2 linked regions of the Styela clava genome follow. The protein of the gene in region 2 purifies or fractionates together with the protein of the main gene of each other region. This does not show direct contact. Links are inferred from orthologs where the notes say so. Each region holds a gene or a part of one and is shown on either strand. Other genes may lie near its edges.

Region 1 (12,006 bases), on a different chromosome or scaffold from region 2:
ACTGGTACAGACACGGAACACATTACCATAATCATGATAACAAATAACAATGTCAGTTATTTTTGTATCGATATTATTGCTTCAGTATGCAAATTTTCCGAATTTTTCTGGTCTCAACTTTCAGGACTCCAGTCAGAGTGCGGATTGTGAAAGTTACCAGTCAGGTATTTTCTCCATTTCAATCAATCATTTATTTTGATTCTCTGACATAAACAATACAAGGTTCCTAGGTTTATAACTTTGCAAACTTTATTTCTGTTTCTGCAAAAATATCAATTTTCAGCAACTTCTTATAAAGATAAGTTCAAATATTGGATAATTCTTTAACAGCCAATATGTGCTGGTACCAGTACAGTATCAGTTGTCATTATTTTAGTATTTAATCTGTGTTAGTTGTGTAGTCTGACTTGTCCAATTTATTTATAATTTCTGTGTTTGTACAAATTAGGAAAAATTATTAGTTTTATTGGTAAATATAATTTTATCACATAGCGCAAGATTGCCACCAGGCAGCCAGCTATATTCATATCGATGATAAATAAAGCATAACTCAGTACCGGTAACTGGTGTTAGCAAAACGATTCAATTTGCCGATGTTTCGAATTTCTATTCAGAAAAACTTCATCAGGCATGATATGGCAAGCACATTTATACAATATTGTGCTTGTCACATGTTATGCTGATTTTTTCACATGCTATGCTTACTATGGAGTCGAAATAATCTTTCAATTATACTACGGTGCGGTAACCAATGCATTGCCGGTACGGTTCACACACTGACACAGCACAGGACGACATAAAATAAATTCTGGTGAGGTGACATTTGACCCTAACTAACGGTTGCCATATATTACTGGTAAATATATTTCAGTCTGCATAAAACCTGACCTTAATCAACTTCGGGGAACCTACTTTTGTGCGGTTTTACAGACTTCCAATAATAGTTTGGATCGGCCTCTACGTCTAGGACAATTATGTAACCAGGATGTCATGCTGAGCATAGTTGGAATGTGTGAGGATCTAAATATTTATCCCGGGAGATAGCAAAGGGATAATAGGGCTTAGTTATGTGCGAGAGGATAGCTGGACTCCTCGCAGTCGTAGGGTGGTTCACGTTACCGCTGGTTCGATAACTAAAACTAATCCTATACCCGACATGGACTGGTAACCGGACGAGAGGCCGTGGTTCGCCATATGGTTAAGCCGTCTTATCGGCTTTCCCCTCCACCGGGATAAATATGTAAATCCTATCCAAACCTTATGACGAACCACGGCCTCCCGTCTGTTACCATTCCATGTCGGATATGGGATTAGTTAAATATTTGTTTTCTGGAGCATAAGCTTCATAGTGGAGGAAGCCATAACCGACCAGCGGTGACGCGAACCACCCTAACATAACTGCCGGTACATCCCACCTCGATCCTAACTTGCGATTCAAGCTTGCGAACTGTGGGTATTCATACGGAGGTGCAATGCCAGGCTTGTTTCCTAACCCTAATAAACCAGCCGTCTAGTTCTTATTTTTAACTATCTAATCCAGGAGTGGGCTAGTTCCAGATGATAGATTGCTTACTGGGCCGGATGCTCGATATGAAAAGCCCATGAATAGAAACAGTTTATTTGCAAAAAAATATCGTAACAGCTTATGTACAACAAATATATATTGCGGTGCTTCCTAACCTTTTCCACTTCGTGACCCACTTGTATCGCCATTTTTTCTTTGTCACTCACAATGGGGTGTTAATATATTAGAAAAGATACAAGGTATCCAAATGCAATATATTATTGATGCAAAATTTAAGCTTGTATATTTGATATTAGCAGATCAAGTGGATGATTGATAGGGGCTCATTGCCAACGTAGCATTGACACTCAACATATTGTGATTTTGAAGTCATTTCCTGCCTCAATAAAACCACATTTGACGTAATCCGAATCAAAGTTTTTCACTGTAATCTATTGAGATTTTTTACTTCGTTACCTTTTCTGTTTAAAAATTACCCATTTTGTTTCTTACAAAAATTAAACAAAGTTAGGGTGTTTTGATAAAGTATATTAACCCTGATCTACTCAGTATTCAAAATGGAACTCATTGGACATAAAATTAACGACTACATAAACCGGTTTACTGGCTACTGTTTACCCGAATTCAACAACTGGTAAATTGCGTCATAAGGGTTATTGTTATGTGATAATAATGCCACAATTTCTTGATCTTGTTGAAAATTGTATGTAACATTTGGAAATGCTTCGCGACCCGCCAGGGCGAAGATTTGTAAATTACATCAATGACATTAAACAACATTGTTTAATGTCATTGATTACATCCAGGTTTGGATTTTGCGTGAGATATTATTTATTTTGCGGTACGCTATATATTTATTTATATTTCCAAAAACTATAGTCGTATAACTTCAGCGGGCACAAGTGGGCCGGATGAAACACTCCACGTGCCGTAATTTGCTCAACCCTGATCTAATCCCACTGTTTGCAAATCAGACAATTAGACTAAGATTTTGACCAGTTTTGTCATTAAAAAAAGCAATAAAACAAACAATTGATATCCCCATTGGGAGATTGCAGATATGTTATGGAATTTTAAGGTATTGAGGTAAAGCCGTTTGTATTTTAATAAATTATAGCTAAACGTCCTCAGAACATTTCGTACTCGCTACTAGTAGGTTACGGTCTTCCAACATGCGCGTATATACATCTGTAATCCGGTAACCTTGTTCACGAACTGCTAAACACAATATAGTCGTTTTTGCTTAATAATCAGCATAATAGACGATAAAGAAAATTGATGAGAACAAAATAAATAAAACTGATTATAGAATCGGGAAAGCAAACGAAACCTCAAGTAAAGTATAAAGCGTACAGATTTTAGGTGGGAAGTTATAGATAAAGGAAGTAGTACGTGTTCGCTCTCCCAAAAGTGTTAAAACTAATTAAGGCATGCACGCACACATACACACACACCTACAATCACCGAGACATGATAAGATCGGAAGCGAAAAAGCGAGACATAAATTCAATTACTTAGTAAAAAGAAAAATATACAAACGAGTAAAAAATGACTAAATTTATTCGCCACACCGATTTAATGATTTTATGAGGATTGCCAAATTGGATACCGATTTAGTCAACAAGAGGGATATGCTGTGCAGAGAAAAATATTCCTCAATCAGTAGTTTATTCCTCACCATACTTAAAACAGGCACAAACATACAAATTGCAATAAATTAAATTATAAATAGGCCATATTTCAGGGTGAAGGAGACGCGAGTAACCAATACTGGTTATCGATCAGCGGCACCTTTAAAAGGAGATATTACCAAGCTGATTGAAAAATACCTAGTTACTTATTTCTATAATTGATTCGAACTGATAGCCGGACGAAATTCCATGGTTTGCCATATAATTATTCAGGTTTATCGACTTCCCTACGATCTCCCGAATAAATATGATGTGAAACCTTACGCAGAATTGCCACGAGGCGACGCAAGAGTTCGATACGCCTGGATGCATCCACGCCTGTTTCTGGATTTTTCTGCAAAAGAAACGCGTGCTCGTGTGATCGCCGGTTGTGCAATCGATCGACCTTCCGTCGTGTCTGTCTCGCGCGCAGTCACACAGTCGGTTGTTTTCAGAAAGCGTTTCTTTTATTGCTGCTGCGATTTGTGATCGAGAATATCTTGATGTCGGAATGAGGTATTTGGTTAGAAAGCTATTTAACGTTATTACTGTAAGATATTTGTAGTTACGTTTGCTCAAAGCAAACCAATGTATAAAACGTTTAGAATAGTGAAAGCAGCAAATTATTCCTTTGTATTTTGTTTGTCCGTTCGTTGTTGTTTTGTGTTTTGTTTCTATCAGAGTGGCCAGATAAAATTGATTGATTGAAGTATGGTATCGGTAACTCTTCACTGAGTTCTGGAGTTAAGTGTTCATACTGCTGTACTGTGGAGAGGAGTCTTGATCGCAGGATTGTTTCTGTGGTTTCTGCAAAGTCTGAAAGTGCTGAAGCCAAATATTTTTATTTCTCAAGGAATTGACTACTGCAGCCAGTCTGGATTTCATGGCCTTTTTGAACGAGAAATCGGGCGTGCAATCAGAAATTCCCGCGTGCAAAATAAGAATTCCTGGCGTGCAATTATAGCTCACGACGTGCAAAACAACTGCACTCGCGTGCAACTGACTTTGACATCAGATACCTCTCAATACATCCGCGTAAAATTACCGGTATCGGATAAAAAATACGTTGAATCAGAGAAAAAATGGACGTTTGACCTTTGACCCCAAACATTATTTCTACAGTTTGTCGCTAATTTTGAGAGTGTTTGTGCGACTTTGGATACCGGTACTGTTCAGTACATCCGCGTAAAATTATTGGATACGTTGAACCAGAGCAAAATGGACATACTTTGTCATTAATTTTGGTAGTGTTTTTACGTAGAATTAATGGATAAAAAATACGTCAAATTAGAGCAAAATGGACGTTTGACCTTTGACCCCAAACATTATTTTCATACTTTGTCACTAATTTTGGGAGTGTTTGAGCAACTTTAGATACCGGTACTGTTCAGTACATTCGAGTAAAATTATTGTATGAAAAATACGCTGAATCAGAGCCGTACTTGGCCATTGGTGCGAAGGCGATCTTTTCGTCCATAACTATTCTCACGGGATACCTATTTCCTATCATTCAACACGATATGGACCTTTCCCCGAGCATCGACTTCCTTGTTTACTTCGTGACATTGGCCAATCAGCAAGATGCAAAAAAGGACGTAACAATGAGAGGAATTTTTCGCGGGTCAAATGTTGGGAAAAGGTCCATGGTCTTTTTGCTTCGCAATATTTCGATCAGACCAAATCTTGCAGGCTGGTATTTGTCGACAATTGTGGAGTTATAATATTTTGGCATCTTTATATTACTGGATTATTGATTTTAAAACCATTTAAACCGATTTACATTGGTGAGCAATTGCAAATTTTCGACGTGCAAAATTGATTTCGCTCGCGTGCATTTTTGCGGAGCGCTAGCGCCCTCGGGCGTGCACCTGCCATGGAATCCAGTCTGGTACTGCAGTACTGCCCTTACGATACCGTACTGTCTGTATTCAAAAATAATTTGATGCTAGAAATTCTGAAATAATGCAGAGTCTGTGTGTGATGAATGTCTTATTGAAGTAAATTGAAACCAAAAACATTGATTATTAAATGTTACAAATGCAGAAAAAATAATTTGATTGTAACTCATTGTGTATTTTTAACATTTTTGTCTTGTGTCACCAATTTAAGAATTTAAGGTGCTTAAAGAAATTATCTTATGTTAATAAATCATTAATAAACCACCTTTCTGTATCAAATGATTAGTAACAATTTTTTTGCAGTTTTATTGCTGCCTTAACATCAATAGTTTTTTGTTCTAATTATTGGTTTGTCACAATTTTCCAATTTATTTGTTTATTCACCACAACTCACCTCATTTAAAGTGTCTTTTAGCCTGCAAAAATATCTGAATCATACCCTAAAATTTTTCAACCTAATGAGGTGCTGTAAATATAATAGAATTTGCTGATAGGGTGGTGTAGCCAGTCTGCGGACGATTTCATTCAAACCGATATAAAACTGAAAAACCAATATTTTTAACCTGTTAATTTTTGCATCGTAGGTGCATTGGCATTTAATCTACACGCTAAACCTCGAATTACCTTTTTAAGACCAGGGGTTAAAGCTATACAAACCACAAAAGTACGACACTCTGAAGACATATTTGCGACCGAACGACCAGTGTGCGACCACGGATTTCAAGCCTTGAACATCGTTTCTGCTGCGTCGAGACTAGGGCATACGCAGCCATGTGTGAAAAAAGTGGCCTTCTAATTGCATTTTTGACCGTCATATATTTTAAGAACACGGTTATTTCGAACAAAACTCGTCAAATTATAAACAAAGCACCGCATCACAGCAATCAAAAAAAAAAAACATGGTGGTCACAAATTGGTCGACAAAGATATTATCGACGTATTGGAAATGCGCACCCTCCAATTCCCCCTCCTTTAAATGTAGAAACGCGAAACTTTAAAGATGGTTAAAAGAAACACAACTCTACCCACTTGCCAAGTTTCATCTTTTTATCTCTTTTATTTGTATGGTTTTTCAAGCTTTTTTCAGGGACAATGGGTAGTTGGCGACATAGAAAAATGGTCCGTTTTTTTTTTCGGTCGCTACTTTTTTGTTTGTGGCCGCATTTTAGTGTAATTTCGCAGAGCTACAGGGGATAAGTGGACGATGACGTGTGAGAAATATCGTTGCGGTTCGTTAGTTTTTTTGGCATTAATTTAATTGATGAAGTTGATGGTCGCAAATAGGTCGTGGTTGCAAAGTGGGTAAGCCACCCTATTTATTATCTCAATTTTCGGTACTCAGATACTTTTTTCAAATTCGAATAGTCGATATATAATAAATAAAATAAAAGGTAATAAATAAATAAAAGTTTCCCATTAGCTGCCTATGTGATTTTGAACTTAATTATTCCGGTTCAGGTTTTATTGATTTAAATTGTAATAAACTAAAGTCCTGAAATGCATCAGATTGCATATGACACGATTTTAGCTGCCTCGACCCTGCAGTTTTTGGGATTTATGGTATGCTAGATCGTACATCTGTTCAATTTAAGACCATTGATACCTCAGATTTTATAATATTTTATGAAAATTGTTTGCAAACCGCCTGAAGTGAAATCAAGCAGAAATAGCATTTATATATTTGCTCATTAGGATGAGAATATTCTGGCAACTACATATAAGTAATTCTGATTGTGAATGATGTTACGCTGAAAAAAACGACCTTGATCAAATTTTTTTACAAGCGAGATTTATCATATTTTTGTCCAACAGTTGTTATTTAATGATTAAACTTTCAGTATTTACTTATTATTTATTACAGTTGTAGTTTTGACCAGGTTAACGTAGACCTGCACTTCCAGCTTTCATTAAATTTAATAATCTGAAAACAAGAAATATAAAAATGCACAGAGTTCCACAATTGGTTCGAAAAGTTGCCCAGCCAGCAAGCCAGATGGTTGCAGTTCGTGGCTACGCAAAGATTGTCTCTTTTGGTTCACCTGCAAGGGAGGAAATGTTGGCAGGGGTTGACAAACTTGCGGATGCGGTAGCAGTTACAATGGGACCTAAAGGTCGTAATGTTATTATTGAGCAGGCGTGGGGAGGGCCAAAAGTAACCAAAGATGGAGTTACTGTCGCAAAAGCGATAGAATTCAAAGATAGATTGATGAATATTGGAGCAAAACTTGTACAAGATGTTGCAAGTAACACCAACGACGAAGCGGGTGATGGAACTACGACTGCTACGATAATCGCAAGAGCAATTGCGAAAGAAGGCTCGGAGAAAATTAACAGAGGTGCGAATCCAATCGATGTTCGACGAGGTATTCAAAAAGCGGTTGTGAAAGTCACTGATGCATTAAAAGAATTATCTAGACCTGTGACAACACCTGAAGAAATTGCGCAAGTAGCAACCATTTCCGCAAACGGTGATAAGGAGGTTGGCGATCTCATTTCCGAAGCTATGAAAAAAGTCGGCAGAAATGGCGTCATAACGGTAAAAGATGGAAAAACTTTGAACGATGAGTTGGATGTTATTGAAGGCATGAAATTTGATCGAGGTTATATTTCACCTTATTTCATCAACACAGCGAAGGGTCAAAAGGTCGAGTACCAGGATGCTTTCTTGTTGATAAGCGAGAAGAAAATAACCTCTATTCAAAGCATTGTACCAGCGCTCGAACTTGCAAACGCTCAACGTAAACCTCTCATTATAGTTGCAGAAGATATTGAAGGTGAAGCTCTTACAACCCTCGTCGTAAATCGTTTGAAAGTTGGTTTACAAATTGCTGCTGTAAAAGCCCCAGGCTTTGGAGACAACCGTAAGAATATGCTGAAAGATATGGCAATTGCTACTGGAGGAATCATTTTCGGTGACGAAGCCATGGAATTAAAATTAGAAGATGTTCAAGTCCATGATTTAGGAAAAGTTGGCGAAGTTGTAATTACCAAAGATGATACTTTGTTTTTACGTGGAGCGGGGAAACAGGACGATATCGAACGCAGGATCGCTCAAATTCAAGAACAACTTGAAGACACATCAAGCGATTATGAGCGTGAAAAATTGAATGAACGTCTTGCTAAACTTGCCAGTGGCGTCGCCGTCTTAAAAGTAGGTGGTTCAAGCGAGGTTGAAGTCAATGAAAAGAAAGATCGTGTCACAGATGCTCTCAACGCAACACGAGCAGCTGTCGAAGAAGGAATTGTTCCTGGAGGTGGAATCGCTCTTCTCCGCTGTTCGCCTTCACTTGAAAATATTGAGGTCGATAATAAGGACGAACAAATTGGGGTCGACATTGTGAGGAAAATTCTCAGAATTCCTACGTCAACTATCTGCTCCAATGCTGGATTGGAAGGTCAACTTATCGCAGAAAAATTACTTCAAGCTGAAGGAGATTATGGGTACGACGCCCGTGAAGACCGGTATTGTAACATGATGGAAGCTGGCATCATTGACCCGACAAAAGTAGTCAAGCAAGCTCTTGTTGACGCATCAGGAGTAGCGTCGTTATTGACAACTGCAGAAGTTGTCATCACAGAAGAGCCGAAAGATGAATCAGCTGGGCCACCTATGGGTGGTATGGGAGGCGGAATGGGGGGCATGGGAGGAATGGGTGGGATGATGTAAATCTTCCACACTGAATTATTAAGATTCAGAGACCGTCCCTCAACTGAGATAGTTCAATTAACTGCCTATGAACTTGATTCAAAACACTGCAGACAGAGTTCAACATTCAGATTTCAACGCATTTTAAAATGATGGCTACCCAGAGCCAGATAAATCAGGCATTTTTAATTTATTTAATAAAATTGGACCACTGGACGTCTCATTCTGCTATTTTATAGTCTTGAACATTCACCCAGGTCCATATTCCATCACATGGATCTGATGCTTCAAGTTTTAATTTGGTTGTTAGGGCAGGGGGTTTAAAAATAAATAATTACAATTCTAAATACATTTTGAAATGATATATAACAAATTGGGTCATGTTTGCAAAGAAATTTGCAGAAATTCTTGATGGAACTTGAAAATTCAGTGATGCAACCCCTAATAAACATTGCTCTGACCGATTTCATGTTATTTGAGAGTGTCGTAAATTACTTGGAAGTTTTTTTTCTGTCTGACCATCAGCCAAATACTAATAATTTTAGATAATGTGAAATTATCTTTTTTTTAATAGGAAATCACAAAGCGTGTTACAATTATCGTCCATTTTGCAATTGATTTATTCAGCCTGTAAGATTATGGAACATACCTGAAAGGGTCATCACGATTTTCAATTACCTTGCCAATGTTTGAACTCTGACCTTTGAACTTAATAATTCCATTTTTTATTGATTTGCATTTTTACTTGTAATTGTGTCATTGCTGTCCTGTGAGCCAGTGCAAAAGTAATTTTGGAAATTTTGATGTTAAACTTCAAGATATGGATTATACCAGGGGGGGTTAATGTTGGTTGCATGGGCTGCATTCGGAAAATATTTTAGCGAAGGGGTGTTTATTTTTTATCATATAGTTACCATATCTTAATAAGTTAAAATTTAGTATGTAAAATATCCCCAATTGAAGATTTTTGTTGTATGGCAAAGTAAAAATATCAAATGATACAAATTAATTGCCAAATCGAAGTTAATTTTCATTTTCACAACTTCTCGCAGGCAAGGGGTCGCACAGAATGCTTTGATGTGCCGCAGTTTGCTCATCCCTGGTTTATATCCTCTAGCTAGCTACATGCCCGCTGCTATCACAGTTTTTAATTTCATTTTTCATCGACTCTCTCGTGCACCATTGTTGCAAGTCTGTTACACGTTCAACAATAATTTCTTGTGATTGATTTGAGAAAATCATGCCATTAAATTACTGCCAAGCTGTGAGGTAACTATTTTTTATTTTGAGGCTTTGTGAGGAACCGAGGCAAGGGAGGTATAGATCTTTCCAAACCGGAGGTCGCAGGGAGTACAGCAATTTCACATAAAGTACTATATCTATTGTACTTTTTTAGACTTTTGACTCTAACACAATCATTAAAACTAGTGCGAAACAAAAACTCTCTTTTTCAACACATAGGATTAGAGAGACTGCGCCCTTGTATAACAATGTCGACCTTGATTGTGAGGTCTGATTAGGGGCCCGCTACTGGGAACAGGGGTTCCCGGAAAATTTGAATTTATTAGAGGGGTTCGCGAGCCTGAAAGTCTGGGAAGCCATAATGTAGAGAAATGGTCTGGTAAAAGACTGAAATATATAATAAACTTGTAACTGTCAAACCCCCCTGCATAGTGGTGTGTGACTAACATTAAAGGGGCCAAATCTCATCGACCAAGATTATGTCAGGCTTGCTAATACAAATAGTGTATTTCAGTACCTATAAAAATACTTCCTAGAAATTTATATGTTTGGGATACATCGTCCATTTAATGTGTGAATAACATTCCAAATAGCGCGATATTGAGTGACATTCCAGCGTCAGTGTCGTGCATTTCTCGGCGTTTTTTAAAATCCCCGCCCTAACAAAGCCATATACATGCAGGCACTTGTTTTTGTAAGGGCCGGTCCACATTTTAAATAACTAACAGTTGGGGTCACGTGAAACTAACTACTTTTTCTTGCTCTATCTATGCCTTTGTACAGCTGGATCCGTATGCGTATAACACAAGGGTGCTGTAGCAAAAGTCAAAATGACTATTCTCTTTAATTCAAGAGTTTTGCTACACACACAAATATATTTTTGCAATGCTTTGTCTGACCGAGGTCAGACTTCTTCAGACAAGCATTTTACAGCTATGACAAGATACGCAATGGCATGCACATAAATAATGGTATCAAATGTTGGGTCTGTTTCCGATAGAAAGAAATAACTAGGATTGGGACAATGCCAGAACAACAGGGAAGCAATGCTTCTCGGCATTTGATACCATTATGTGCATGCGATTGCGATTCTTGTCACAAGTGTAAAATGCTTGTCTGAAGAAGTCTGACTTCGTTCAGACAAAGCGTTACAGAAATATATTTGTGTAAGTGTCTAGCAAGACTCTTGAATTAAATAGAATAGTCACTTTAAATATGAAAAGAATTATCCCTGAGCAGAGCTACAGGCGACAGCTAAAATGCCAAAAGCCATTGGCTGAAGAAATACAGTGAGAAGTAAAGCTGTTAAAAAAAAGTTTAAAGTATTAAAAAACACTGAAAACGAGAACGACTTCTGTTACAAAATATTCATTATTATTGGTAAAATATTTATTCGCTGTTTGGTTAGGTTCCACATTTATATCAAACCTAAAACTAGCTGAATAGTGTAGGACTTGACTGTCAGGCTCAATCACGGGTATCGCTTTTCATTAGTTCACGCGCCTCCCTTGGCCCAGAAATGCCATTTTTACTTCTTTTTGCATAATTAATCCACAAAGTGCCTTCTATGTATAGTGGGAAAATAAACAACTGATTTTTGTTACATCAGCGTACTGATAAGTAGAGGGAGGTGGGCCACATGGGACACAGTGAAAAATCAGCTTTCGCACTCATAATATACCCGGAATCATGTCTGCGGTTCAATGTTTAAATCCACTTTTCGATCAGTTACCACGTCCCCGCAAACGGATAGCGGCCGTGCAGGGCGACGCAAGCTACGAGCAGGGGGGTTCCACATAGGATTTGAACCCGTGATGCGTAATTGTGTGAATCTACACAATGTGTATTCTGCGACTCCAACACAGTTAATTGAGTCAAACACTTTAAACCACCAGACCATCGCGTCGCACAAAACACTACTAAACCTGAGTAATCTATCGGAGAATAAACTATAGAAAATAATAAACATACGTTAACTGATCCAGGGATTTGTTCAAAAAAAATGTTCAAAATCATTTTTTGTGC
Region 2 (12,872 bases):
TGTCAGGCCAACTAGAAGTATGTGGTAAAAAAAAAAAACTTACCGGTCTGAAATCGCCAGAGCCTGTTCTCCAAGATCGCGATGAAGGAGCGAACAACCACGACCAGTGATCTGTGAAAAAATATAGTCGCCAGATTATAAAAGGATTTTGTGATCTGTGAAAAAATATAATTGCCAGATTATTTTGGTTATTATTAAAGAAGTTTGAGAAATTTAGGACCAAAATATTGGTCAAGCATTCGAGTTTGCATCAAGCTTGCTTGATGAAAACACGTTCTGATATCTTGTCAGTTTTTAAAGGGGGAGGAACAAATTACTTTACAAGATACTCTAATGTCAAATAACATCACAGTATGATTGGCAGATGTTTCACAGGGAAATACATAAAACTTATTACCAGATATATAGTTAACAGAAGGCAAGCAGACAAAATGCCCGAAACGTCGGGAAAAAATACCTACAAGGCAAGAGAGAACAGAATTTTGATACACGTATTATGCATGGAGATTGAAAAATTCCCGTTAAAAATGAACTAGATACATATTCCTTTTTAGTAACATTTACTTGTGTTGTATTTTATTTTAGATTTATTCAAAGTGCGCTAAATACTTTGGTTGAATGAAGCCTTATATCAAAGTACTAAATTTAGATTCATTACAAGTGTGTATTATATGCGAAGAAATATGGTAATCAGCTCGTTTTGCCACTAACGAGACGCAATTTGGACCACACAGACCTATCTTATTAAAATAACCAGTCTATGTCACAGCAATAGCACGAAATATTAATTGAAGCAGCACATTTCGGACTGGGGGTCCAGATCCCCCAGTGGGTCGCGAAATGGCTCAATGCGATTGGTAAAAAAACTTTTTCAACAATGAGTCATGTTGAAAATAAAACATTGATTAAATTTGAAGGATTTGAAGCCAGTACTAAGACCCACCATAACTAAAGTAGCGCCAGGTTCGATATTTTGTGCGAGAATATGCAAGCACATCAGTTTCATGGAAGCTATTGTCCTTTTTATTTTAATATTCTCTGTATTAAATTTTTTTATGTTCGTTTTGGTCACGACTCACGAGGGTCACGAAAAAAATTGGCCGTGTCGAGTGAGTCATGTGAAAAAGGTTTGAATAACACTGATTTATATAGTACAAGGCCAACCAAGCTGAGCAATCTAAGTTAAATACAATCTAAAGAACAAGGCCGAAACATACATTGAAATTCAAAATGATGTTCAATAGCATGATACACGAGCTTACTCACCAAACGTTGGTTCATCCTCTTCGTCATCTTCCGCATTTCCGACCCCGGTAATTATAGAGTGACCCCACGGATCAAAACGGACAAAACGAACCTGGAATATATAAAAATGGATGATAGGAAGGTAAACTAGGTGTGAAGTCTAATGAAGAATGCTTGCGCAGAGCAAATAAATAATACAGGGTGTCCATAAAGTCCCTTTTACAATTTCAATTTTGTTATAATCAGTTCATAACAGTCATACCAGTCAGAAGGTTCGTTGTTTTTTAATCAATAGTTGTTCTGGTATTTTTACTTCATTTAATACATCTGTGAGGGCCAAAACAATACATGGTATTGATAAATTCCCTTCGCAATTGAAAAAAAATTAAGACATTATGGACAAAAAATTTGAGAAAAACTGAATATTCGATCCGCCTTATACATCCATATTTCAGATAGAATGACCTCACCCCGTGTGTAATACCTTGATTTGAAAGATTACGGTTCTTCCAAACTTCCCACCAAGTAATGACTACTTTTACAGAGACTTAGTCAAAGCTAGGGTGGGCAAAATTGAATCTTTTTTTTGAATCAAATAATTCAAATACTTTCAAAGAAAACAAAATAGTCGAATAACGAATATTCTTTCTACACAACAGGTGTCCAGAACATCGGAGGTGTAGATTCATGATCGGTTTAGAGGCGCGCTAGTTTTCCCGGTCATGTGGCACCAGATATCCGTTTAGCAACAATGCCATTCGAATATTTTAATATTCGATTCGTTATTCGAATATTTAGCGCGATATAAAATCTGATGATTTAAATTTTGATATGCTTTGTTGTGCACTCCTGTTTACCAGCTATACAGAGGTTGAGAATCAAAGCGAAAGATATAAATACATCATTATAAAATCCAAAAATTTAAATTTTGATTAACTTTGTCCTGTTTTCTGTCTCACCTTCTCAGATTCAGAGTTAGTTTTCACAGACGCAAACGGATGCGGCAAGCTCCAATCCCAAAAATGTATTTCATTTCCTGCTGCAATGGCTAAAACATGATCATAGGGATGAAATGAAAGTGACGCAATCGCTACCAGTTCGTTATTATCCACTGTCCAAGATTCACTCCCCTCACCCCGTAGATCCCACACCCTGACCTGAAAAATAAATAAATTACCATGTTGAAAATATTTAATAATATTCATTGAATGCAAGGCTACACACAGTTCTGAGAAAGTTATTAAGAACATTCACTCAATCGTATAAGAGACTCATTTCTGAGCAAAGTTGAAGGCACTCAGAAGTAAGAGAGACTCATCTCTGTTAGAAGTTACAACTGAAATGAACCAGAGAACGCAAATGTCAGATACCAATGGATCATATGATTTAGTTTGACCAAATTGAAGTTTCTTATATTTTAAATTAAGAATTTACTGCATAAAAAAAACTAATTCTTAAAATATTCATTTAGTATTAACATTGCCGCCTGTGAATAGTTAAACCATGTTTGAAGTAAAGTTGTCCCTCCAATGCGACTTTTCTTTCATTTAATATTACACATATCCTCCTTTCAAAGACATATCATCAAAAAATAAACTCTTACCTCTCCATTCAGGGATCCTGTAGCAAGAATTTCATTTGATCCAGGATGGAAAGTAACGCACCATGGCGAACGCTCGTGACCAGAAAGAGACTTCACCAACTTTTTAGTTTTCAAGTCCAAAATATGGATATTGTGGTCCCCATGGCAACTCGCTGAAAATTTTTTTAAAATAAATAAGACAGGCAAACATAACGTCCTTATATCTAAGATTTGTCCTTATTATCAAAGGGTTTTTATTGGAAAAAATTTTGTCCTTATTTTGACATTTATCCCCATTTTTGTTTTATTTTAGAGGTAGAGCATCTTATACCGGACACTTAGTTTGGTCAATTCGAATGATTGATTTTCTAGAAATGAAATTAGAACCTCATTGATTGCTACGCGCCTCGACATGCCTCGATTTCAAAACTCGCTTATGGCCTATAAGAACAGCCTTCTCACTTTGAGTTACTGTAATTTTGGTTAAAACAAATTTTATTAAAAAATGGTTGTTTCATATTAGTCAGTTAATTTTGAGGTTTTTAAAAGCACTACACGCCGCCTAGTATTGAGATTTTAAAAAAATTGATGGTTTGAAAAAAGGTTGGAAACCACTGGAATAGACAACACATACCACAGGTCTATTCTCACAATGAGCGTTCAGTAATTTTAGTTCTTGTGAAGGTTTTCAATAGGTTTGGTATGGCAGTAGGTAAATAAAGCCCTCACTATGTGTTAGAGATTAAATTAAAATCACAGATAATCATTGAAGAAGGTAATTACACAATTAAAGTGTAGGTGTTAATTAGGAGGAAAAGGCCATTAATTAATATGGTAAGTCCTTGCCCGACTGCAGACTCGAAAAAAAAAATTTTCTTTGTAAAACCAGAGTTTTTTTTTTATTGAGAAATTCGGCCATAGCATAGTTATAAACACCCACTCAAAAGTGAAAATGGAAGCCGAAAGATATCCTCATTTGATCAAAACAGAAAAACAAAGAGGTGAAAAAATTGACAACAACAATGCTTTTGATTTAGACTGTGTTTATTCGACCAGACAAGCTTAGATGATTCATAAATACTTTTAATAATTACTTGATTAATTTGTTGGCATGATTACCTCAACCTAACCAGAGAAATAAGTGGAAATTGGCAGCATCAGTGCTTGTGATTTATAGATTGATTCTTCTGACCAGACATGCTTCAATGAATCATGAATACTTCCAATATATACCTGAGTAATTATTTGGCAAGATTTGACCAAAACCGATAAGCAAGAAAGTGGAACTTAGCAGCAACAGTGCTTGTCATTTAGAATATATTTATTTCGATCAGTCACGATTCAATAAATTATAAATACTTTTATTATAAACCTGATTAATTTGTCTGCATGATTTCACTAAAACAAAGAAATGAGATAAAATTGACAGCAACATTGCTTATGATTTAGATTTAGATTTTTCCAAGCAGTCACAATTCAATGATTTATGAATATTTTATATATGCTAGATCAAATTTGTTTGCAAAATTAACTCAACTTAAACCAGAACAATAAAGTTAAAAATTCACAGCAACAATGCTTGTGATTTAGGAATTGGTTATTCCGACCAGTCACGCTTCTATGATTCATGCATTTTACTCCGAAATTGATTAATTTGTTTGCAAAATTAACTCAACTTAACCAGAAAAATAAGTTAAAAATTCGCAGCAATAATGCTCGTGATTCAGGGAATGGTTATTCCGACCAGTCACGCTTTTATGATTTATGAATACTTTGAACTACAAACTTGACAACTTTGTAAGTATAGTTAACTCAACCTAACCAGAAAAATAAGTGAAATTGGCAGCAACAGTGCTTTTAATTTGAATTGAATACTTTTAATTTTGATTTGAAGAATTACTTCACTACGACATCCCAGTAGCTTAATAAAGCTCTCCAAAGTGTACGAATGGTAGTCCAAAATGTGCAGACAATCACCCAAAATTGGAGGCGCAGTTGTTACCGCTTCATGGCAGCTCCTGCCACGAACGAACCGCGGCAGCTCTTGCCATGGTTTTATAGCGCTATTCAGTATTCAGTAATCAGTATTAACGGTATATATTCAAACATTAATGTACCAGATTTTAATTGATCATGTGGAATTATATCTACTTAAACCCTAACCCTAACCCCAAATCCATCAAAACTGTATCCATAAGAAAAAACATTCCAACTTACCCAATATTTGTCACCATAAGGGACAGCCCTGTCTTTACGGCCCACCTGCCGTGGTTACGTAATTGGTTTGTGGCAGCTAAAAAGTCAGTCGCCATAGGTTTGGTCGTAGCGGTCATGGTATGAAAATACCGCGATGGTTTTGCGGCAGCTGCAGACGCCACAGAATACTTAAAACTGCACTTGCAAAATGGAGCAAGCTATTTCTCTTGTTTTCTCATCGCAATGATCCCGATATGAGAAAGATCGCAGGCGTTAGTGGGTTTGTTATCGGCAAATGGCGTTCTGGGCGTTAAGAAGTATGCTACGCCCACCGGAAGTACTAAAAAATACCAGACCCATGATTTTGACCAGTCTTATCAAGGGTTTTAGTGTAAAAGCTACAACTTGAAAAAAAAAATAATACGAACCTAGAAGAGTGTTGTCCGGGCTGAACGCTGTGATAAACGTAGTCTTCGTCCTTGGAGGAAGTTCGAATTTCGAGTTATCCAAATTTACTGACGCAACTACCCGGTCTCCGTAATGTCTTAGTGGGCTTCTGTGTGAATTCCAACCTCGTAATCCAAGAGAACGATTCCTTTCTGCTATAACTACATTTGTTTTTATAGGAATAATACTATCTTGCCATGATGTGCTATTATACATTGTTTAAACCTGAAAAGAAATGTTTTTAGCTTGAAAATGCATAAGAGAAATGGAATTATCATATTCCGGCCAGGAATATCAAGACAAAAAATTGCAAATACTGCAACTTTCAAAAAAAATTTCGTCGTTATGAAAAATCGTTATGCTGGACAATCCGTATGTCTTATGGCTCAATTAGCTTTCAAGATATATTTTGAAAAAGGGGGCAAAATGTGCCCCTTTGCCACCGGTATGTGAACTGAAAAGGCAAAAATAAATCTTACGATAATACTGTAATATGTGTTTGTATAATATGATTTTTATATTAGGTTGAACAAGAACGGATTTTATGTAGTTTTACAAAATAAGACTATAGTGCGAAAAAATATTCGAGAAAGCACATTTGTGATAAAAAAAATTCTCTTATTGAGAATTCAGTAAAACCTTGTTTGCATTATTAAATTCAAGTTGAGTATGAAAATACAGGAACAGTTCAAGAAATTGGCAAAATTACAATTGTCTTGTTGGTATCAACCCCTTTGACAAATATATCTATTATTCAACTTCACAGAAATATACATATAAGTATAGAAGCTAAACTACAACTTTAATTTGACCCAATGATATGCATAAAAGACCATAAAATAATTGATAAAAACTGATTGCAGAATACAGAATCAGGAAAACAAACAAAACTTTATAAGATTCAAAGCATACAGAATATAAATTAGAATGTTTTGCCAAAGAAAGTAGTTTATGTTCACTCAATCGATCAATTTTATTCCTGTATTTCGGTGACTGTAGCATTAAACAAAAACAACAACAAACAAACGCAGAAGACCTGGAGGATGAGCAAGGTTAAAAAATGGGACAAGTCTGCATGTACGTGCTAATCCACCAAAAACTTGAATTGAGTAACTCGCCTAAACACAGAAACACTCACCTAAAAGTGTCAAATTAATTTATACAATTGTATCACTGACAGACTGACACACAGAACCTTTCAAGTCAAGTTTATTTTTTGCAGCCAGTAAAAAAAATATCACAAGCACAAATCACTAGAAAGTGATGATACATCGTACACAGTTCAGCAGTTTTACTGGGGAAGAGAAGGCGCTAGGAACCAAAGCTGGTTATCGAGCAGCGACACCCTGGGTTCTAATATTTAATTCAAAAAGTTAGAATTCTAGAGTTTTGAAACTATTCATTGATATTGACAGTGAGTAGGCTACTGTATCTGCCTATGAAATATCTAAATAACACCATTCATTTTAGGTAGGATAATATTAAATTATAATAATCGCAAGAAACTCAAAATGAATTACCCTAGTCTGCATACAGAAATAGGTAGACTATACCGGTAGGCGTACGGTACCTGCGTACGGTAGCTAGATAGAATTTATTTAAATTAATTCGGAAAAACAAAGCAGCCCTAGGCTAAACATACAGACATAGTCTAAGATTATTAAGACGAATAATCTGGAAAGTGAACAAACCTAATAAAAAAGGTTTAAAACTATTAAAAAAAAAAGAAAACAAATCACAAGTCTCATCACAAACACAAACAAATAAACATGGATATTGACGGCGGTCATTACTCCAGTACGGTACCTACCGGTACTCAATGACCGATAGGTAGGTACCGTCGGTACGGTAGGACCATAATACAGTAATATCTGAGTACCGGTATATCGACGAATAACAAAACTCAGTGAGAAGTTCACCACCAAGATATTCTGACCACAATCTGGCGCAACGGTATCGGGTAAGGGGCGGGGCAAAAGCTGCACTACAGCTGTAGAGCAGGGGAGGCCAAAACCGGATTCGATCTCCGTCCCACCTCCGGGGATATTCAGGATTGGATTCTTCTTCTTGTAGTTTTGTGGGAAAGGTCTTTTGTGGGAATAGTCTTTGGTGAGAATGTAGTTTTCTGGAAAGGTCTTTAGTGAGAATGTAGTTTTGTGGGAAAGAATTTTTGTGGGATTGTATTTTGTGTGGATGTAGTTTTGTGGGAAAGATCTTTTGTGGGAAAAGTCTTTGGTGAGAATATATTTTTGTGGGAAAAGCCTTTGGTGGGAATATATTTTTGTGGGAAAGATCTTTTGTGAGAATGTATTTTGTGGGAATGTATTTTGTGAGTATGTAGTTTTGCGGGAAAGATTTTTTATGGGAAAGGTCTTTGGTGGGAATGTAGTTTGGTGGGAAAGGTCTTTAGTGAGAATGTGGTTTTTTGAGAAAAGTCTTTGGTGAAAATGTAGTTTTGTGAGAAAGGTCTTTGGTGAGAATGTAGTTTTGTGGAGAAGAAATCTTTCAAGATTGTAGTTTTGTGGGAAAGATCTTTGTTGAGATGTAGATTTGCGAGAAAGGTCTTTTGTGAGAATGTAGTTTTGTGGAAAAGATATTTTGTGAGATTGTAGTTTTGTAGGAAAGATCTTTTGAGAGAATGTAGTTTTGTGGGAAAGATCTTTTGTGAGAATGTAGTTTTGTAGGAAAGATCTTTTGTGAGAATGTATTGTTGTGGGAAAGGTCTTTTGTGAGAATGTATTTTGTGTGTATGTAGTTTTGTGGGAAAGATCTTTTGTGAGAATGTAGTTTTGTAGGAAAGATCTTTTGTGATAATGTAGTTTTGCATGAAAGGTCTTTTGCGAGAATGTAGTTTGTGATAACGACTTTTTATACCGAATGAAAATCAGTAAAGCAAATGAAAGCCGAAAAAAATTCGGTACTCCTATAGTATGTGAACCAAGATGGCGAACACCAGAACTTAGTATGTGTACCAGGAATGGGTTAGTCCATAATTTCGGTACAAATACTACGGGAGGCACTTGGTTAGTCACCGAACTTGTAATAGAACTAAAATGAAGAAAATTGAAATAAAATCATGACCTAACCTGGTACACATACTATGTTCATGTGTCCGCCATCAGCCTTGTTCGGAACAAATGGCACGAGTAAGGTTCATATTACGTCATTACACAGGAAAACTGCCCTCTCGAAATTTGAAACTGGCTACGATCGTGGGCCATAAATAATGGAAGCTTGAGAACCACTGGTCTGGTCTAGGATTCCAACATTAATTTCAAGGCGGAAACGATACTTCGACCTAGAGGTCTACTTTTAGTTCCATGGAGAGACATCAGAAAAGGTTACTTGCGAAAATTTCATCCATAGTTTCCTGCTTCAAGACAGATCCATCCCTGTGGAATCTGCTCTAACCACCAACTACGCATTCCATACGTTACGGTAGTGTTTGCGCATATACCGGTATAGTCTATATATACCGAAAATATAATAAAAAGAATGGTTATAGGATCAGATAGGCATAGTAAACACACATGAATTATAAAATCTAGATAATTTGAAACAAAAAATGGCCTGGTATGCGCTTTTTCACTAGAAAATATATTGCAGCAAAAGGTCCGGCACAGAACTCGAGTACGTCTTGACCTCGATTAGTTGAGTTTACTGAAATTTCTCATAATGCAATGGTATTATTCAAAGATATTGGTATTGATTTAATTCACAAAAGCTTCCTCCAAATGCGCCGCCCAATAGAACTAGCACACGGTTCAAAATGAGTACACAGAATGCTATAATTGCCTTTGACCTAATGCAAAGTTTCGCCGACGAGTTCTCATCACGGGTACGTCATCAACGGGACCTAATTTGCGTTTGATTTCGGCAGAGTTTGGGAAACCCTGGACTCTAGTCGGTCTATGCGCAGTCGTCAGCAATTTCGATATTCCTGTTTTGTCAAACTGCACAATCAATTATTGTCCCATTACCAAGAAACGCCAAACCAAGTCGACATAATTTGATAAAGTGGCCATTAAGAAAACAGGCAATTAAATTTACTTCAAATGCGCACAAAAATCGCCCGTGCGAGTTATGCAGACAATTTTCTTATCTGATTATCGACGCAACAATGGAATGTCTTCTGCCGCTTTTTGGATGATTATAACTCACAAAGTGTTTTGAGGCGATAATCGGTTGTTAACGAATACTCAGATTTCCGGTACCTTCGGCAGTCCAGGCTACAGAATATTTTAATATTGAAAGAATCGCAATTGAGGCGAAATGGACTACGATTATTGTAAATATTGGGAATTAACTAAGTTTGTGCATCTGAAACGAATTAGGATAAGGAATGCAAGATAGAGATTTATTGTTTTTAAACCCTGGAAGAGAAAGGGGTAGTGGTTTGCTATTAGCGATAAAACTATTTGTAACTTATTAAAGTGTGGTCTGACCTGAAGAAGTCTGATCTTGGTCAGACGAAACGTTACAGAAATATATTTGTGTTATTGTACAGCAAGACTCTTGAATCACTTATGTTAGAGGGGAGTGTTTGAAATATCATGTGGGGTGTTCACCCCCTACAGGAGAGATGTAGGAGGAGCATACCATCGATATGCTTACTTTGATGCGGATTATCTTAAGGTAAGTTAGTATACGGCAGTATTTCCCGACCTATGGGTCGCCTGGAAATCTTCTTAAGTCGCTTCTGTTTTCAACAACACTTGGAAATTTTTTATTTTTCAGTAAAGTTTATTTTATATTTGGTGTTTTAGTTTTTCTCAATAGGAATCGTATACGCGGAAAGTGTCACAGCATAAAAACTTTGCAGCATTTATTTGGCTTAGGTGAACCCACCCCACGATTCCAAAAACTCGCTGATGGTAAACAAGTGCAGTTTTCTCATTAGTGCAACTTTGAATTTATTTCTGTTGAAATTAATTTTATGTTATAATGGCTGTTTTATATCAGTCATTCAATGAGCCACGAAAACCTTATATACCGTTTAGTATGTATATCCTTGGGTATCGAGATTTTACAAAATATATATTTTTTAAGTTTGGATTGCTTGGAAAAAGGTTGGGACCACTGGTATAAGGTATGCCATTCCCATTTCCCGGCGTTTACCCATTAATCTAACCTAAAAAAAATACAATAAAGTAATGGCAGTAGACAGCTTAATACTACCTTGTTATTGCTTGTTATTTTTTTGATTCTGTTAATTTTATATTGTTATACCTTGTTATTTTTTTGATTCTGTTGATTTTAAGATCAGTTTGTATATATGATATTTTTCCCTATAGGAAACCCTACATGCAGGAGAAGGCACGGGCAACACGTTGACGGGATGAGTGTGTTGCTTAGTTTGATGATTTAAATAATATTCATACAACCATTTCACTCTTACTTGACTTTCAATTCTTTTTTTCTCATGTATAACCAGATGTAAAATTTGTTTATCAACCGAATTATTTTTGAAGTTAGGTATAAGCGGCTTCATTATCAGAAAGTCGCACAGGCAGAAGAAAAGTTTTCGCACGTTCCTGTCTATATATGTATCATGTAGTCAAATCTGGCGAATTTTAAAAACAAAACAATACAACCGTAATCTCTAATTGCCCAAAGAGTATTGATTAATCAGGCGAAATTCGAGATGTCATGTCTGGCTGAAAAACGAACTATCGACCGGTGTTGTGTAGGGTGCGTAAGTTGAATTTAGAGTCAAAGCTACGTGAAACTAGTCCGTGCCTTATTCCCCCGTGTAAGTGCATCCATTTACGTCTAATGCAAGGATACTGTAGCAAGAGTGAAGATGACCGTTCTGCGGCACACTAACACGAAGTCTGACCTCGGCCAGACGAAACGTTACAGATCAAATATCGTCGAAATAGTAGCAATGTTTGTCGAAAAAGTAAAGGATAAACTTAATAAATAAAATCAGAGAGAGAGAAAAGCCTATATAGTTCAGGTGAGTGAACACGTACTATTCTTTTGGCCACACGATTCACAACAATTCTTATTCAATTTTTTTCACAACGAGAACGCGCGGTGCAATAACACGATAGTACGAAAATAATCCCACTGAGCTGAAATTTAGGTACTTCCATGTATGTGTACCAGGTTAGGGTTAGTCCATAATTTTATTCCGATTCTCCTTATTTTGGTTCTATTATCAGTTTGGGGACTGTCTGTGTTAGCCAAGTGAATACCTTGTGTTCATAGGTTTCAGTCCCTTTATACAACTTGATGCAAAGTAGGCGAACAAAATTTGTTACCTCCATATTGGTACTATTATATACAAAACCTGATGTTTTTTTACGACGCGTTTTGCTCCGAACGAGGTTTGTACAAGTAGCGACCGATATCCAACGATACGCTATTTTAGGAAGGACCAGAAATGTTTTTTTGGCTCGAGATTGCCAAATCAATTCACTTTGTGTGAGATGGGTGCACGTTATTTGATTCCGAAATGTCTAACCTGCGAAGCCACACGATTAAGTTTTACGCTTTAACAGCTATCGCCATCACTTGCGCACAGAGGGTTAATGCCTTGAAACAATCGGTCCTTCCAAAGTTCGTAGCTTTTCAGATACCAGTGGGTTCCTGCGCAAGGTCTTGTTTCGAGCGAAATGCGTGGATATGCGCAAGTCTGGCGATTTAACAGCTTTTGTGCCCATATGAGCGTAGAGGGTTAATATTGAGATAGAATCGGTCCTTCCAAAAATCGTAGCCAAAGCTTAGAAACCAATCACAGTTTTTAACAGAGTCTGACGCTTTAACAGTTATTGTTCCAACACGTGCGCGCTGAGGGTTAATACCACGAAAGTAAACGTTTGCCGACGGCAAATTTTATCTTCTATGTTCATTCGAGCGATTTCTCTCGACTATTTCGCTTGTTTTATGAAACAGTTGCGGGTTGCCAGGTCAGGAATAACGTATAGAGTAGCGTATTTGTTATATGTGATGTCAATAAAGTCTTAAAATATATAAAATTGCAAAAGGAATTAATTTATTGATACCATTTATTGTTTTGGCTTTCACAGATGTATTAAATGAAGTAAAATACTTGAGCAATTACCGATTATAAACAACAAACATGATTGAGATATATTAGGAACTGACTTCATAACAAAATTGAAATTGTAAAGGGACTTTATGGACACCCTCTATATAGAGATGGTTATATTTGATAATTTAAGGACGGGTTCTCTTTTATATTGGACTCACTAACAACGGGTTCCTTCATTCCAAAAAATGTAGGTATTGCACTACGTAAGCTACATTAATATGACACGCTTTACATAAATCTAATACATAAACTCTTTATTTGCTTAGAATACTTGAATGTGTTTAGCTTTCTAGGCTAATTCGAAGCTTAGTGTTTGTTTTATTCGATGTGAAATAAATTATT

The links.
Region 1: the proteins of uncharacterized protein LOC120327688 (region 2) and 60 kDa heat shock protein, mitochondrial-like purify together in Homo sapiens (affinity purification with mass spectrometry, with the first as the bait; 3 studies listed by BioGRID). This does not show direct contact. The link is inferred for Styela clava from reciprocal best matches to the Homo sapiens genes AMBRA1 and HSPD1.

What each region holds. Positions count from the first base shown.
Region 1 is NC_135251.1:7,879,735-7,891,740, forward strand, and holds 60 kDa heat shock protein, mitochondrial-like, read left to right. Parts: upstream 1-6,925; 5' UTR 6,926-7,035; coding exon 7,036-8,760; 3' UTR 8,761-10,010; downstream 10,011-12,006. UniProt on the Homo sapiens protein: Chaperonin implicated in mitochondrial protein import and macromolecular assembly. Together with Hsp10, facilitates the correct folding of imported proteins.
Region 2 is NC_135256.1:1,559,876-1,572,747, reverse strand, and holds the start of uncharacterized protein LOC120327688, read right to left. Parts: upstream 5,717-12,872; 5' UTR 5,687-5,716; coding exon 5,452-5,686; intron 3,001-5,451; coding exon 2,849-3,000; intron 2,403-2,848; coding exon 2,205-2,402; intron 1,358-2,204; coding exon 1,267-1,357; intron 112-1,266; coding exon 44-111; intron 1-43. UniProt on the Homo sapiens protein: Substrate-recognition component of a DCX (DDB1-CUL4-X-box) E3 ubiquitin-protein ligase complex involved in cell cycle control and autophagy.